3 linked regions of the Oryzias latipes genome follow. The protein of the gene in region 3 interacts with the protein of the main gene of each other region in a pairwise test. Links are inferred from orthologs where the notes say so. Each region holds a gene or a part of one and is shown on either strand. Other genes may lie near its edges. The genes, in order: aplf, aptx and DNA repair protein XRCC4-like.

What was found.
Region 1: the proteins of DNA repair protein XRCC4-like (region 3) and aplf interact in binary tests that used the Homo sapiens proteins (3 or more experiments, as listed by UniProt). The link is inferred for Oryzias latipes from reciprocal best matches to the Homo sapiens genes XRCC4 and APLF.
Region 2: the proteins of DNA repair protein XRCC4-like (region 3) and aptx interact in binary tests that used the Homo sapiens proteins (3 or more experiments, as listed by UniProt). The link is inferred for Oryzias latipes from reciprocal best matches to the Homo sapiens genes XRCC4 and APTX.

Annotation. Positions count from the first base shown.
Region 1 is NC_019859.2:725,019-730,642, forward strand, and holds the start of aplf (aprataxin and PNK-like factor), read right to left. Parts: upstream 3,810-5,624; 5' UTR 3,784-3,809; coding exon 3,691-3,783; intron 3,481-3,690; coding exon 3,409-3,480; intron 2,934-3,408; coding exon 2,785-2,933; intron 2,659-2,784; coding exon 2,553-2,658; intron 2,444-2,552; coding exon 2,335-2,443; intron 2,041-2,334; coding exon 1,916-2,040; intron 1-1,915. Other genes in the region: fbxo48 (F-box only protein 48), read left to right, coding at 4,836-5,138, 5,423-5,584. UniProt on the Homo sapiens protein: Histone chaperone involved in single-strand and double-strand DNA break repair.
Region 2 is NC_019859.2:15,249,567-15,254,920, reverse strand, and holds aptx (aprataxin), read left to right. Parts: upstream 1-2,107; 5' UTR 2,108-2,207; coding exon 2,208-2,337; intron 2,338-2,554; coding exon 2,555-2,601; intron 2,602-2,721; coding exon 2,722-3,000; intron 3,001-3,125; coding exon 3,126-3,185; intron 3,186-3,287; coding exon 3,288-3,514; intron 3,515-4,376; coding exon 4,377-4,480; intron 4,481-4,552; coding exon 4,553-4,707; 3' UTR 4,708-5,111; downstream 5,112-5,354. Other genes in the region: dnaJ homolog subfamily A member 1, read right to left, coding at 90-282, 354-485. UniProt on the Homo sapiens protein: DNA-binding protein involved in single-strand DNA break repair, double-strand DNA break repair and base excision repair.
Region 3 is NC_019870.2:1,149,710-1,155,381, forward strand, and holds the start of DNA repair protein XRCC4-like, read left to right. Parts: upstream 1-2,006; 5' UTR 2,007-2,094; exon of another isoform or gene 2,095-2,366; intron 2,367-3,206; 5' UTR 3,207-3,208; coding exon 3,209-3,350; intron 3,351-3,458; coding exon 3,459-3,643; intron 3,644-5,672.

The sequences.
Region 1 (5,624 bases), on a different chromosome or scaffold from region 3:
TTGCATGGCGGGTTCCTCAGAACCGTTCCTTAGAACCTCAGAACCGTCTGCATGGCGGGTTCCTCAGAACCGTTCCTTAGAACCTCAGAACCGTCTGTATGGCGGGTTCCTCAGAACTGTTCCTTAGAACCTCAGAATCGTCTGCATGGCGGGTTCCTCAGAACCGTTCCTTAGAACCTCAGAACCGTCTGCATGGCGGGTTCCTCAGAACCGTTCCTTAGACCGACAGAACCGTCTGTATGGCGGGTTCCTCAGAACTGTTCCTTAGAACCTCAGAATCGTCTGCATGGCGGGTTCCTCAGAACCGTTCCTTAGAACCTCAGAATCGTCTGCATGGCGGGTTCCTCAGAACCGTTCCTTAGACCGACAGAACCGTCTGCATGGCGGGTTCCTCAGAACCGTTCCTTAGACCGACAGAACCGTCTGTATGGCGGGTTCCTCAGAACCGTTCCTTAGAACCTCAGAACCGTCTGCATGGCGGGTTCCTCAGAACCGTTCCTTAGAACCTCAGAACCGTCTGCATGGAGGGTTCCTCAGAACCGTTCCTTAGAACCTCACAATCGTCTGCATGGCGGGTTCCTCAGAACCGTTCCTTAGAACCTCAGAATCGTCTGCATGGAGGGTTCCTCAGAACCGTTCCTTAGAACCTCAGAACCGTCTGCATGGAAGGTTACTCAGAACCGTTCCTTAGAACCTCAGAACCGTCTGCATGGCGGGTTCCTCAGAACCGTTCCTTAGAACCTCAGAACCGTCTGCATGGCGGGTTCCTCAGAACCGTTCCTTAGAACCTCAGAATCGTCTGCATGGCGGGTTCCTCAGAACCGTTCCTTAGAACCTCAGAATCGTCTGCATGGAGGGTTCCTCAGAACCGTTCCTTAGACCGACAGAACCGTCTGCATGGAAGGTTCCTCAGAACCGTTCCTTAGAACCTCAGAACCGTCTGCATGGCGGGTTCCTCAGAACTGTTCCTTAGAACCTCAGAACCGTCTGCATGGCGGGTTCCTCAGAACCGTTCCTTAGAACCTCAGAATCGTCTGCATGGAGGGTTCCGCAGAACCGTTCCTTAGAACCTCAGAACCGTCTGCATGGAAGGTTCCTCAGAACCGTTCCTTAGAACCTCAGAACCGTCTGCATGGCGGGTTCCTCAGAACCGTTCCTTAGAACCTCAGAACCGTCTGTATGGCGGGTTCCTCAGAACCGTTCCTTAGACCGACAGAACCGTCTGTATGGCGGGTTCCTCAGAACTGTTCCTTAGAACCTCAGAATCGTCTGCATGGCGGGTTCCTCAGAACCGTTCCTTAGAACCTCAGAACCGTCTGCATGGCGGGTTCCTCAGAACCGTTCTTTAGACCGACAGAACCGTCTGTATGGCGGGTTCCTCAGAACTGTTCCTTAGAACCTCAGAATCGTCTGCATGGCGGGTTCCTCAGAACCGTTCCTTAGAACCGTCTGCATGGCGGGTTCCTCAGAACCGTTCCTTAGAACCTCAGAATCGTCTGCATGGCGGGTTCCTCAGAACCGTTCCTTAGAACCTCAGAACCGTCTGCATGGCGGGTTCCTCAGAACCGTTCCTTAGACCGACAGAACCGTCTGTATGGCGGGTTCCTCAGAACTGTTCCTTAGAACCTCAGAATCGTCTGCATGGCGGGTTCCTCAGAACCGTTCCTTAGAACCTCAGAACCGTCTGCATGGAGGGTTCCTCAGAACCGTTCCTTAGACCGACAGAACCGTCTGTATGGCGGGTTCCTCAGAACTGTTCCTTAGAACCTCAGAATCGTCTGCATGGCGGGTTCCTCAGAACCGTTCCTTAGAACCGTCTGCATGGCGGGTTCCTCAGAACCGTCCAGGAGGAACCTCCAGACAGAGAAGCTCAGCAGGTTTTAGCTTCAGCATCTTCATCACCGCTTTACTCAACCGTTTCAGGTGCCTTCTCCTCCTCAGCATTCATCTTCCTCTTTCTCTGCTCCTCTTCCTCTTTCGATGTGGGCGTGGCCTGAACACCGCCAGCAGGTCGTTTCCTCCTCTGAAGAGTTGACTGAACTAAACACACACAAAACCCCATCAGACCAACAACATGCTTCTACAGAGCAGAACCACAACCAGACAGAACCGGTCAGTCAGATCAGAACTGGATCCGGCTCTTTCTAAGCGATCAGAGCAATTTCTGAGGAAGAGCCAAAGATGGTCTCTGCAGGACGTTGCTGTTCCGCTCAGGTGAGTCCAGGTGTTCTCTCGTGTTCTGAGCGTTCCCCTGGCATACAGAGATTCCTTCGGGTTCTCTGGTTGAATTTGGCTTTTTTACCCATGAATCTTTGCACCGTTTGCCACAGTTACCTTTGAGCATGAGGGCTGGGGTCTGCACGGCGGCCGCCATCATCCAGGCAGGAAGGGTTCGAACCCTGACCTCAGACAGAGCGGCGTGCCTCTGATCCTCCATGTTGGTCTGTGAAGATCAAAGGCCGGACTTCAAAGGACAACGAGGGTTCGAGGACCGTTTCCTTCCTGATGCTTCAGCGCAGGGCCTGACATAACGGTGTGGGCGGGGCACCCACCTGTCGGGATCTCCCGTCTGACTCCGCCCCCTCCTCTCCTGCTGGACCCTCCTGACCTTCTCCTGAGGCGGGAAGCTGCTCCTCCTCCTCAGCGCTCCGGATGCTCCTGCAGGACACAGAGACGTGAGGCAGCTCCTGCAGGAGCAGCTCTTCATCAGCTGGAGGGTCTTCCTCCGTCTGTTTGATCCCAGCTTCAAACAAAAGCGGCGCCGCCCACACCCTCCTGGAATACCTGGAGCCCACGGCCTCCACCCTGAAGACCAGCCGCCCCGGCAGCAGAGAGAGCAGCTCGCCATCGCGCAGCGTGTACCAGGATCCTTGGGGCAGGGGGCGGGGCTCCGAGGACAGGGAGGCCTGGATGAAGCACGGGTTGGCGTGGGTCTGGGGAGGGACATGAGCGCATCAGTTTGGGATCTGGGGAGGCCCGAAGACACCAGGAGGACCATCTGCAGACGGCACGGCTCCTCCTCTGAGGAGGTGCAGAGACAGAACAGAGAAGGTCAGAGGTCATCCTGGATGGATCCACATGGTTCTGATTGCCTGAAGTTCCACCTGGATCTTCTTCAGAACCGTTTCAGTAAAGCTGAACCGGACTCAAACAGATCCGGTTCTGTTTTGGTCAAACCGTGTGACGGGTTGCGTTGTTCATGTAACGTCAGTGGTTTCCTCCATCTTGGCCGGATGTGACATCATCAAACCCTGAACTGAAAGACCCGATCGGGTCGCTGTGGAACCAGAACCGTCTGGATTTTCTACATGCAAACTCTAGCAGAACCGAAAACGTGACGGCGGCGTCCTCCTGAACCTCGCCGTGTTCAGAACTCTAGGAGAGTGTGTGTCTGGGGGGGGTCGGTACCGGTTTGAGGCGCAGCTCTCCGTCCAGGTTCTGCAGCAGCCCGTGGCGTCTCGACACCCTCTTGTCGCTGATCTGGGGTGGAGACAGAAACACTCAGTCACTTGTGAGGCGATGGAGCTGAGGATCAGCGTCCCTCACACCACGTCCCCTCAGGAACTTGTCCTGAGGGGGGTACCAGCTCCAGTTCTGCGTCAGAGGTCAGGTGATCACCTGCCAGCTGTGGCAGCGGAGTCACGTGACCGTGCCCCGCCTCTGTCTGACCCGACACTCTGCGGGACTCACTGTGAGCAGGGGACCCCGGCCCAGCAGCGTCTCCCCTGGCGGAACGGGGACCGGATTCCCGCCATCCACCGGGACCAGGAGGAAGCCGGACATGAGCTCCGGAGGCGGGGGGGTCCGGCTGGCGGGAAGAGTTTATCAACACACGCGGTTCGGAAAATGCGTTGGGTCCAATTGACCCGGGTCTCTGCGGATCTGGACTATGAAATCCGGGTCTGAGAGCCGCAGGTGAATTCGGGAACAACTTCCGCTACTTTTGAATCCAGACTTCCGGTTTCCAGTGGAGCATGCGCAGTGGTGTCTTTAAGGTGTCAGCAAAAAAGTTAAAATTTCCATCGATTTTTACGAAAGATCCAATTTGAGTAATTAAAAATTGAAATAAACAAAAACTTAACATGTTCATGTCAGCCTGAAGTTAAAGTGTTGATCAGTAAACTGACCTGCGCAGAAAAAAACGTTCAAAAAAAGATAAATTGTTTGGATTTTAAGTAAGAATATTTTCTCTTTAAATTTCACATTAGATTACAAAAGTTTAAAAACAACGGAGTTTGGTTTTTTGACAGTGAGGCCTTTCTACGCATGCGCGTGGTTTAAATTCACGATGACGTCACGTCTGTGTACAAACAACCGTTGGGACATTTAAACAGTCAGCTGTCGGGATCAAACCCCGTGTCCTGTCCGCGCTTGATTACTGCGTCCCTGTGGTTCAGCGTCTCGGGAAAGAACCCGATTCCGTTTCTGCTCGGAGTTCAGACCGGAACCGGCGGCGTTTGTCTGCTAGCTGCTCTCCCCCAAAACACTCGTTTAGACGGAGGTGGGGGTGGGGTCCCGGTGGGGGGTCCCGCTTGAGCCCTGATCCGGTTCTGAGGCTTCGGTCACGTGCGCCTCCCGCCCCCACGTCCGAGGCTCAGGTGCCAAACAGAGAGCAGGTAGGACTTCTGTCTTCAGCACCTGTGACGTTTTTGAAACGTGACCGGAAGTGAGGCCACATGAAAAGGTTCTGAAGGCCGATCCGGATCCCGGACTGCTGTGGACCCCTGAGGAGCAGACCAGGTGGGTCTGAGACTACACGATCCACGTGCTAAAATCTGATTGACACCCCCATAAATGTCTTTCATCTTTCAGTCGCCCCCTCCCCCTCCCCCCTTATGATGCAGGATGAACCTGCAGAGACTCCGCCCCCACACCCGATGGAAGGAAGCCCCACCCTGATGGCAGCCCCCCCCGAACGCCCCCCTCTGAACTTTGTGGAGGCGCTTCCTCTGGAGATGAGCGTGCGGATCTTCAGCCAGCTGGACGCTGACAGCCTGTGCCGCGCCTCGCAGACCTGCCGGCTGTGGCACGCCGTCATCCAGCAGAGCGAGCAGCTGTGGAGGGGGCAGGGCCTGGTGGTGCGCGCCGTCTGCCAGAGGGAGGTGGACCGCGACAGGAGCCACGGCCATTCCTGGAAGGTGAGCCTGGTCTCCCCCCTCCCCCAATATGGCCAGGTTATAGGGGGGGCGGGGGAGTTCTGATGCCTCCCTCTGAGGCCCCTCCCTCATCACATGACCCTCATGTAAGTGAAGGTCCCTGACCTCCTTGATGATGAAGGTCATTGACCTCCTCCTCATCGCACCTCCTCATGCCATTGAGCTGTCCGTCTCCCTCTTTGCTTCTGGATAAGGGTGGAGGGTGGCACGGTGGTGTAGTGGTCAGTGCGTTCTCCCGGTTCACGTGTGGCTCCGCCCCCCTGCAGGTCACCGTGGTCAGGAACTACGCCCGCAGCCGCCTGAAGGCCGACTGGCTGACGGGGCGCTACAGTCACGTGCGCTCTGTGGCGGAGCTGCGTGGCAGGAGGATGACGCCGCTGGACGCAGAGACGTGGGGGGAGATCCTTCAGGCTGAGCTGGACAGATGACCCCCCCACCCCAACCCCAACCCTCCACCCCCACAAGAAC
Region 2 (5,354 bases), on a different chromosome or scaffold from region 3:
GACCGGGGGAACATACAGAGGAACCATAAACTATATACTTCAAAACAAAACCCAGAGTGTGTTTGTTGTATTCTCATTATTTATTTTACCTTTTCGCTCTCTTTGCATCCGACTACCTCCACCAAAGAAAAAGTCAAAGATGTCCATGGGTGATGCAAAGCCACCGCCACCGCCGCCGCCACCAGTTCCCCCTTCCTTTAATGCCTTTTCGCCTCCCCTGTCATAGATTTCTCTCTTCTGGGGGTCTGACAGCACTTCATACGCCTGTGAGATCTGCTTGAACTTTAAAGACAAATCGTTTAAGAAAAGAAAAGAAAAACAAGGACGTTTGTGGCAGCTGCGTTATGTGGTACCTTCTCTCCTTCTGTAGGATTTTTGTCAGGGTGATATTTCAGGGCGAGCTTGCGATAGGCCTTTTTCAGCTCGTCAAGTGTTGCGTTAGCCTGAACGCCCAAAGTGTCATAAAATCCCATTTCCTTGACCATGATAGGTTTTTATAGGCCAGTCCTAAAGAAAAAACAATAACAGTGTGTTAACACACACACACTAAACAAATCTGATCCTCATCTGGTTAATCTGATGGTCCTTATCTGTTAATGACAGTTAACAAAATTGGGAACTTTAACAAACACCTAAATAAGAAAAACAAAATAAATAGCAGTTACTGCAAGAGTGAAAGGGAAAAAAAGAAGGGATGAAGCTTACAGCAGAAAAGCCAACTTTTTCTCAGAAATGATAAACAAAGGTGAATGAGGTCCAATTTTCTTACTTGTGTGTTGCCCAATTCTAAGATTGACTAAAATGTGACCAATAAGCAACCAGACGCTGAAAAAAGCAACAACAGAAAGAGTCTTAAGTCTTTACTTGCTAACAAAGCAATCTGATTATGTACTAAAATATTTAAACAACGTCAGATCTGAGCATTGCTGTTTAAAAAAACATTTTTTCAGGCATGTAAATGAGCATGATGGGAGTTTTTGGCTTAGAAATTTTCTGTTGTTTTGTGTGAGAAAACAGAGACGGTAGCTGTGTGTGTTAGGACAGATTGTTCTAATAGAAAAAAACAAATAAACAATGCTGAGACTTTTTGTTCCTCAGGTCAGTTTTACCCGAGAAGCTCTAGCAGCAAACGGGTTATTTGCTAGAGTCTGTTCATTTGGTCAATATCATAGCTGAAAGCTTCTAGGGATTTAGAAAAACACCGAAAATATAATGCAGTCCGACAGGCTCATCATGTCGACTAACATTGGTGTTCTGCTTACTACTGTTCCATTATCTGTGGATAAAGTTAGATTTCTCTGCGTAGAGGGGCACAATGATTCGGCCTTTGTAGCTAATTTAGCTACTCATGTCGTAGCTATGTATGTCATCAACATGGTGGCTTTTTTGCCAATTTTTTTAGCCAACAAATCACGTGTGGGCTGTTGTTAATAACATGTTTCGAGAATTAGTGGTTTTCCAACCTTAAACGAAGACCACGCTTAGCACCCTCACAAGACTGCAGCTCACAACGGCTCTTCCAGAATCTTCCTGCAGCCCTCTTTCTGCCGACTGCTGGTGTGGTGTCGAGTTTTGTCTGCGCGCAGCGCAGACATCTACGTCCACCTCGCGGGAACGCGCGTCGACAGCTAAACCCGACTGTTGGTACTTGTGACCGCACCATGTCGAGTTATGTTCTTTCTCCCAAAAGATATCAATATTAACATGACTGAAACCCACAAATTTAAACCTAAATGAAAAAAAGAACGAATCTAACTTCAGCACAATCACGTTTCAGAAAGTCAGTCATAATAAAAGTTTTAGATACAAAAAAGTGATATTTTAAATATTATTTAAAAAGAGCCAAGCCTTGTTGAATTTTCTGAAACTGCTATGATTTAATGTCCATTCATTGACAAACCAACCAACCAAGAAGAAGAAAAAAGACCAAAAAATTAAAAAGCAACAACTAAAAAATAAAAAAAAATAAAAAGTTGTTTTACAAGATATCATTTTTATACAAGAAAACACGTTTTTATGTCGTTCACAATTTTGCTGTTGTTGCGCGCTCTCGCAAAGTGAAGAACTCTGGGAGGAGACAGAACTTCCCACCCCACCTTGTTCCTCGGTCGCACCCTCGTTCGTCATCACTCCGCGACAAGTTGAACAAACATTCAAACGTGTCCCGCTGCTAAATATTAGGGAGAAAAGCGTAACGAAATGAGAAAATGCCCATTTGCTGGCTCATTAGTGAAGAGGGGAATCACAAACCCATTCACCTGCCTCATTTACAGACAGTTGTCGTGGGTCGAGGCCCAGAAACTACTATCAAAGACAAAAAATGCTCCCGGCATCAAGGTAACGATGTTACCTACAAAAACAGTCTCTAGATTTCCTGTGAGTTCAGTAAGAATGTTAGGAAAATAATCTGTTATTGTTTTAGTGATTTCAGGGATAATACATTTAAGAAAACAGCAGGAATTGAATGACTTGAGCATCAAGTTATTTTCATTCATGTTTGTAAAACGAAATGCAAAGTTTTAACCTGTCTAAATGTTCCTGACTTTCCCATCAGTTGAACTGAAAGCTGAATGCAACAAAGGTTATGTCAAAGTGAAGCAGGTAACATGCTCACAAGAATGATCAGTGGTATAAACAAAATAAAAAGCCTTATTGCTGTACATTTTGTATTATTTTTATTGTTCTATTTTTTTTACCTGTTTTTTTTCTCCCCTCCCTAAGCTGGGGTTAAACCCCACCTCTGTCGGCTCCTTGGTGGTGGGTAAAGGCAATGAGGTCAAAATGAAGCCTGGAGAGCAGCTGCTCGTGGTCAACAGCCTTTATCCATACACCGTGCAGTTCAAAGAGGACACCACCGGGAGCCAGGGCGCCACCAAAAGACCACCAGAGCCAGTCAAAGAGAATGGAGGAAGCCAAAGAGAGACAGACTGCCTGAAAGCTGGACAACTCACAGAAAAAGTCGCTGCAGCTGTCATTCCAGGAGAAGCCACAAAAACTAGTGTGAGGAGAAACAAAGAAATCTACAATCTGTGATTTATGCCTAATATACAAATTATTGTTGCAGACCTGGAGAGTTTTTATTTAAATATTCATTCTCATAATTCATGTTAACTGACATTTTGTAGGGAATTTCTGGGCATTGGAGTCAAGGCTTGAAAACTTCAATGCAAGACCCCAAAATGCAGGTAGCTATAACTCAACATTACTTACTGATAAACGTACGTCTAAATTGAAACTAAATTTAGGTTTTGTTTCTGTTTTAATTGATCTTTTTTTTTTTTTTTTAGATATACAAGGACGATACAGTTGTAGTGATCAAAGACAAGTATCCCAAAGCTCGTTACCACTGGCTGGTTCTTCCATGGCAGTCGATTCCCAGCCTGAAGGCTTTGAAGGCAGAACACTGCGATCTGCTGAAACACATGCAGAAGGTGGCTGAGCGCATGATTAAGCAATGTCCAGAATCCAGCTCACTTAGCTTCCGGACTGGTTATCACGCCATCCCAAGCATGAGGTAAGTCTTTATTATGTGTGTTTATTGGGCTGTTACTCCTTAAAGTACACCATCCATCCATTTTCTTAACCCGCTGTATCCCTTTCGGGGTTGCTGGAGCCTGTCCCAGCTACTGCTGAGGAAAAGCGGTTAACACCCTGTACAGGTTGCCAGTCTTTTGCAGGGCCACACAAACACATGCACACCTCGGGGCAATTTAGAGTCACCTAGTAAACCTATGATGCATGCTTTTGGAGGAAGGCCAGAGTGCCCTGGAGAAAACCCATCGGGAGAACGTTCAAACTCAGCAGAGAAAGGGCCCTGCTGGGAATCAAACCAGGGCCTTCTCAGTGTGGGGCGAGAGCGCTAACCACTACCCCACCGTCCAGCCTCAAATTTCCCCATACTGTTGAAAATTAATAAAGAATAATGAAGAGATGCAACAATTCACTTTCTGGTTTTTCAGGTCACAGTGTTGTTTCACTTTGATACATGTGTATAACAAAATAATAATAAAAAAAAAATTGGTTTTTATTTATTTATTATTATCTAGAAAGCAAGTAACAGTAAACAAAGCCCTTTAGTTTGCTTATAATGACCCTGGTGTAATGTGATAAAACTATATTAAATTTAGCACAATGCTCGTATTTGTTACTTTCAACATAAACATATGCAAACATATGCAGTAGGGATGCAACGATTCCCCTGAGAGCTTGTGCTGAAGCATCACTACCTGGATAAATAAAGGTATTACTGCTTTAAATGTGCTCATTGTGGGTTTGTTTTCAGAGCACAATAAATCATCAGAGTAGTGTTACACGAGGACATCTCGGCTGAATTTGACATTTTCCCACTAATGAACCGTTCTGTTTACACTCTTCAGTCACATCCACCTCCACGTGATCAGTCAAGACTTTGACTCTCCTTGTTTGAAGAACAAGAAGCATTGGAATTCCTTTACCACAGATTACTTCATAGATTCTGAAAGTAAGAGCAGACTTTATGTTATTGATTGATTTAGATGTGCTGTGTGTAAAATCAAGCGTTTTCTTTTTTTAGATGTCATTCAGATGCTTGAAAAGGATGGGAGCGTCTCTGTGAAGGATGGGACTAGTGAGCTGTTGAAATTGCCTCTCCAATGTCACGTGTGTCACAAAGAGTGTCCCACCATTCCTGCCCTGAAAGAGCACCTGAAGCACCACCTCTCTAAATAACCGTGGGACTTTTTTATTCTGGGCTGTTTTGCTCTAAGTTAGCTCATTTTCTAGAAAATTCAGAGCGGGAACATTATTTTTTCAGGGTTTCTGTCTGTTGGAGTTTGAAGTCAAAATACCCAGATATTCTTCAGAAATACTTGTTATCCATCACATGTCACAACATTCTTTAGAGTTGCCTAATAAAAAAACTCTACATGTTGCAATAATTGTTATCTAAATACGTAGTTCTCCTTTTTCCAAATTTAGCTTTTAAGCATTTTGACTTTATTGTTTGGTTAGTGTTGACTGTGAAGCATTTTTTATGGTTTTGTGTGAACAAACAACCGTTTTGAGTTTGAAAGACTTAAGTGATTTTCAGCAAATAATATATATTAGTGAATAAACTGTACTGAACCAAAAGACGTGTCAATGGAATAACTCTGTCACCATCTAGTGTTCAATCAGAAGAATTAAGTTATAAGGGTAAGAGAAGGTTTAAACCGTATGTATTTTGGTAACCCTTCAGTGGCGCCTCCAGAAATTTTTCATGGGGGTGGCCAGTGGGGGGCCACATTAAATCTTGGGGTGGCACACAAAAACCATGAGCTATATTTTTAAAATTCATTCTACCAAACGTAGTAAAACAACCTTTAGAAAACCAATAG
Region 3 (5,672 bases):
CCAGCTGATGTCTGCTGCTAAAAATCTCCATTTTTGTTCAATTCATTGACCTGCTGATCAAAACCGATGGAGCGAGGAAGAGTTTGTCTGTGTCGAAGCAGAGAGCTTCCTGCTGCTGTGGACTGGACCTCATGAAGGTTTAGGGAAGGAGCTGCTCGTGATGGACCGGAGCTTTAGAAAGTGAGTTGCTGCTGAGAGGATGAAGGTTTACTGCAGAATAAACGTCAAAGGCAGTACGGAGGTCGGAGGAGATCAGTGTTTTCTGCCATCAAAGGGCGCCGCCTTGCAGAGGATGAAGGCCACTTTATGAAGCCCTCGGCAGTTACCAGGAAACGCTTGTTACCTGGAAGTCATTACTCCAGCATCTCGCCCGAAGAGCTGGACTCCCGCTCACAGTCATGCACATGTGTCTGATGCTCTGGGCAGTTTGGTGGAGGTGAAGAGGGCGGAAGGAGGCATCCCTGAGTGCAGGAGAGGAGATGAAAGTGGGCTGCAGTTAATGACGGAGATCACAAACCAAAGGAGCCGCGTGGATCTGCAAGGAGCCTTCTGGAGCTAATAGGGCCGAGCGCTCTGCTCCAAGCCTAGGGTGATGCCACCAGGAAGCATGTTTCCATTTTTTTTAGAGTTTTCAGCCTGAACCCCAGAGAGACGCTGCACCTGGAAGGAAAGATGTTCATGCATAGTTTCCTGACGATGCAGCTCCTGGATCACACATGCTGGCGCAATGATAGCAGATCTTTACAGGAGATTGACCTCAGGTCAAAACCTCTCAAGTATTTGAGGGTCATGTGACCCAGATCTTCGCAGAGAAGTGGCAGCTGCAGGGTTCCAGCTGCTCTGGTGGGCATCAAAGCCTTCCTGTGGCGTTTCTGACCGCGTTGCTGCAGGCTGACCCACTTTACTCCACGTTTGCTCTTCAGCAGATCTTCAACCTTTACTGTGTCTGAAAGGTGGAGCTCCAGTGGATGCATTGGATCTCACATTTGTAGGATTTGTTTGCACTTAGTTTTGCAGCAGTTTCTTTCTTTTTCCTGCTGATCATGCAGGTGACTTTTGGATTTTCTCTTAATTGTTGACACTTTTCCCTTTGTAGTTGATAGTCTCAACCTAAAAAAAATTGGTTTTCTTTTGAAAAAATGCAGCAGAATTTCAAATTTCCTGCTGACGGTTGAACCAGGACACAGCGTCATATACCAACCAGTCCGCATCACCAACAGATAATCGAATCATTTCCATTCACACCCATGCGCCTCGCATGTTAGATGTCTCCGCCCAATTCACACAACAGTCACAAAACTTACAGTAAACCAGGCTCACATCAGATTTCACCCACAACGATGAAGATGACTCTTTTAAATGTTTCTTTTAAATAAGACTTTCATCATTAATGATCTGGTTTTAGACCATGATCCATCCTGTCTTTAATCTTATTTAAATGATCTTTTAAAGTAGGAGCACTCGCTGACCCTGAGGTCCTCCAGTGCTGCCTTTTTTAGTTGTTCCTAAGGTGAGGACCAAAACCTATGGTGGGGCTCCGTTCCACCATCACGGTTCTCACCTATGGAACAGTCTGCCGGAGAACCTCAGGGCCACAGAGACTGAAGTTTTCAAGAAGAGGCTCAAGACCCACCTTTATAATTTGGCTTTTAGTTGAAAAGCTAAAGTGAAGTCAGTTGGAAATTTTCAAATAGTTTATCCAGTAGAATTTTACTTTAAGAGGTGTTCTAAATGTTCTTAGATTGAATTAATAAATTAATTAATTATTAATTGAAAAACTAAATTAATATTTTTCATCTTTCTTTGTTTACATTTTGCCAGTTTTGTGTTGCACCTGGGCCATTGATAATTTAAAAACCTTTGGTGATTATTAATACTATATATATATATATATATATATATATATATATATATATATATATATATATATATATATATATATATATATACACGTTGAAATGTATAACGTTGAAATGTCATTCAAACACTAAACAGTAGCATCGATTCTGTCGCGTAACGATGACGTCACAGCCACCTTGGCTGTCTTTCTGTCAAACTCCGCTTCCATCCAAAGCCGCGCGCCGTTCGCCTCTGGTAAGCTGTGGCTTTGCTGTTACTGGCGCGCGAGCCCGTCTTCTGCCTCTCGTCCACGTGCGTCTGTTTACAAACACTTCTCGGTTGAGCTAGCCTGTTAGCCTGCTAGCTCCTAGTGTAGAGAAACGCAGACCGTAACCCGGTTTTGGGGATTTTCGGTACGTTTTCAGTCGTAGCAGCTTTGGGACAAAAGATCAAACTTGTTCTGAACGTGCAGAAGTGAGCGCGCGCTTCTTTTAGGAGCTACCTCTGTCTCAAACTACAGAGTCACGGTAAGCGTCTAATAGAGCTGCTCAGATCAGGTTGTACTGATGAATCTGTAGTTTAAGTGATGAATCTGTAGTTTAAGTGCCTCGTTTAAACATCCTCTGCTCTCATGTGTCGTTGATGGATCCACTGAGACCTGAGGTTAGAGTTCTTTCGTGCATTTGGAGGGAATCCCTGTATGCCACCAATCTGTGAATATATATGTAGTATATGGTATATAATATAGTATATATGGGGTGTTTTGTATTTACTTTTTCTTTACTAATTTCTTCCTTATACGATTTTCCCTTTTGTGGACCAATTGAGTGTGAGGTAAAGCTTATTATTATAATGATTAGTAATGATAGTAGTAGTATAGTATTACTGTAAATGCTTTGGTTCTATTCACAGTTTTAGTGATTTTTTAATTTAAAAATAGACCTTTTTCTTTACGTTTTAAATACATTTTTTGGACTCATATTTTGGACGTTTGTGACGTTTTAAAACAGTTTTCATAAACTTTATTAAACAAAATCCAAATTACTTAACATTTTTGACATCATTTTTGCACTAGTTTATTTTTATATTTTAATCCTTCTTTCAGATAATTATTGCGTGATCAGCGTTTATTAAAGGACGATTCATGACAGACTAAACGATGGGACCTCAGGATTCTTGTTCCAGGTTTTCATGTGTCAAAATAATAAATGTGAGCAGATGTGAATGTAGATCTGCAGGTGGAGGTTAATGCAAACGAGACGCTGAGCCTCTTCAGGCCGTGTGGCGTGGAGGAAGTCCTCGCCATGAGGCCTCCTCACAGAGAGTTGGTGTTTCAGAAAAATGACCAGCTCTGGTTTCATCTGCAGGGATGAACACGGCTGTGCGGGAGATCCACATATCCTCCAAACCTGGCTCCTCCTACTTCCTGCGTGTGGACTGGGAGGGGCGGAGCTTAGCATCAGGCTTCAGGGTGCTGCTCACCGATGGCCAGGATGCTTGGAGTGGAGAAGGTAAAGATGACCCTCGGCATGACGGGATAGAGCTCACACATGCACACGTTTACGTGCACACCCCTCTGATGAGGAAATGACAAACGGACCGTTTCTGTGACCACGCAGTGGGCGCGGCCACCATAGGCGGCGAGGCGGAGGAGCTGGAGATGACGAGGGAGAAGTACGTCCAGGACCTGGAGCGGGCGCTGACCGGAGCAGAACCACCGGACCCCTACAGCTTTAGCCTGAGTCCAGAACCGCCGGGCCGCAGCGTCACGCTGACGTACGAGAAGATGCAGAAGGAGATCTCGGTGAGTCCTGACGCAGACGTGTGAGGCTAGAATACAAACACACACGCTGTTCTTTCACGCATGCACAGTAAGTGTTTCTCTCAAATGTGCACTCTGTGTTCCACAAAAACACAATAAATGTTTCACAAAGATCATTTTTAGGCACACTTGTGTTACAGAGTGACAGAATGTGCATTTATAAACCTCACCTCCTTAGTGAGACAAATCCTGACAAATCCTGAACTAATGTCACCATTGGCTAATGAATCTGTCAATCAAACTCATCAACAAAGCAGGCGTGTTCGCTTTCAGCCAATCGAACGGCCCCTCAGACTTTCTCTACACAAACGTCAGGACGTGGGGCTTTTCATGCAGACGTTGGTCAGACAGGTAAAGGTGACGTTTCAATCGCTGGCCTGTGGTTTTCCTCGGTCAACATCATGGCGCCCTGCGGTCAGCTGTTTGTGATGGGCGTGGCCTGTCACAAACGTTCTTCAGCTCTTTTCTTCTGCTGAACATCTGCTACCTGATGCTTACAGACTGTTTACTTCTTTTCTCATTTATTCTTGTGGCTGAATGTTCTAGAAAGATCTTTTGGGGAATTTTAAATCCTTTAATTTCTCATCTAACAAAAGTCTTTTATTCAGTGATTCAGTGATTTTCCATCATTTCCCCAAACCCTGAAATCATCGCCACACTTTTGGTTTTGTTTCATGAAAAGTGTTTGATTGTTTTGGCTGTGAAGCCTCATGTTTTTGGCTCAAACGCTGTTGTCATGGCGACGGCCGAATGGAAAGGGAGCCATGAATGGATGAAAAACAAAAACGAGAGTCAGGAGTGAGTTTAGAGGTGTCTGTTTCCCTCGGAGTGGAAAAACTCAGCGCTCGCTCCAAGTCATGATGAGAGGCTTAAGTGGGACCCTCCCCCCTCTAATCTGTGTGGGGGGGCAGCATCCCAGGTGTTACCTGAGCAGGTCCACATTCCAGATTCTTCCCGTTGAATGTTCGGACGGAGCTGAGAGGAACTTCAGAGCGTCTGAGGAGTTTCACAACATCTGTCTGTGAGAGGAACATCGGGTTTTGGGTTCCAGATTTATGAACGGAGCCAAAGCGGTTCGAACTGGATTACAGGGAACTCTGGTCTAAAGCTGTTCAAGAAAAATGTAGATATTATATACATAAACGATAGAGAGTTGCGTAATATTTGTCATCTATTGATGACAAAGACTCTCCTGAAAGCAGTTTCAGCTTTGAGGTTCTGCAGTTCTAAGGGGCTCCCTCCTCCTCACAGGACTTTCAGTTCCAAACAGCCGTTTCCATGACAACCCCGACATCATCAGTCCAGGCTGCCATCCTGAATCAGACATCATGCAGGCTCAGCCTGACCGCTCAGGGTGGCTCCAGAACCAGCTGGGAGGAACTGGGTCCAGTTTTTCTGAGTTTATTCAACATTTCCTTAAAGTGCTGACGTCATGTTTGGAAGACCAAGGAAGGATCATGAACATGACTCGTGACAAAGTTTCCTTGTTTCCATCCAGCCCTGCTCAAACACACCTGCCCTTCATCATCAGGTGCCTGAGAGTCTGATGATGAGCTGAATCCGGTGTTTGTCATGTGTGAGTCATGTGTGCGTCAGGTGTGCGTCAGGTGTGCGTCAGGTGTGTGTCAGGTGTGTGTCAGGTGTGTGTCAGGTATGTGTCAGGTGTGTGTCAGGTGGGTGTCAGGTATGTGTCAGGTGTGTGTCAGGTGGGTGACATGTGCGTGTCATGTGCGTGTCAGGTCCGTGTCAGGTGTGTGTCAGGTGGGTGTCAGGTGGGTGTCAGGTGTGTGTCAGGTGTGTGTCAGGTGGGTGTCAGGTGGGTGTCAGGGGGGTGTCTGGTGTGTGTCATGTGTGTGTCATGTGTGTGTCAGGAGTGTGTCAGGTGGGTGTCAGGGGGGTGTCAGGTGTGTGTCAGGTGTGTGTCATGTTTGTGTCAGGTGTGTGTCAGGTGTGTGTCAGGTGGGTGTCAGGTGGGTGACAGGTGGGTGTCGTGTGTGTCATGTGTGTGTCA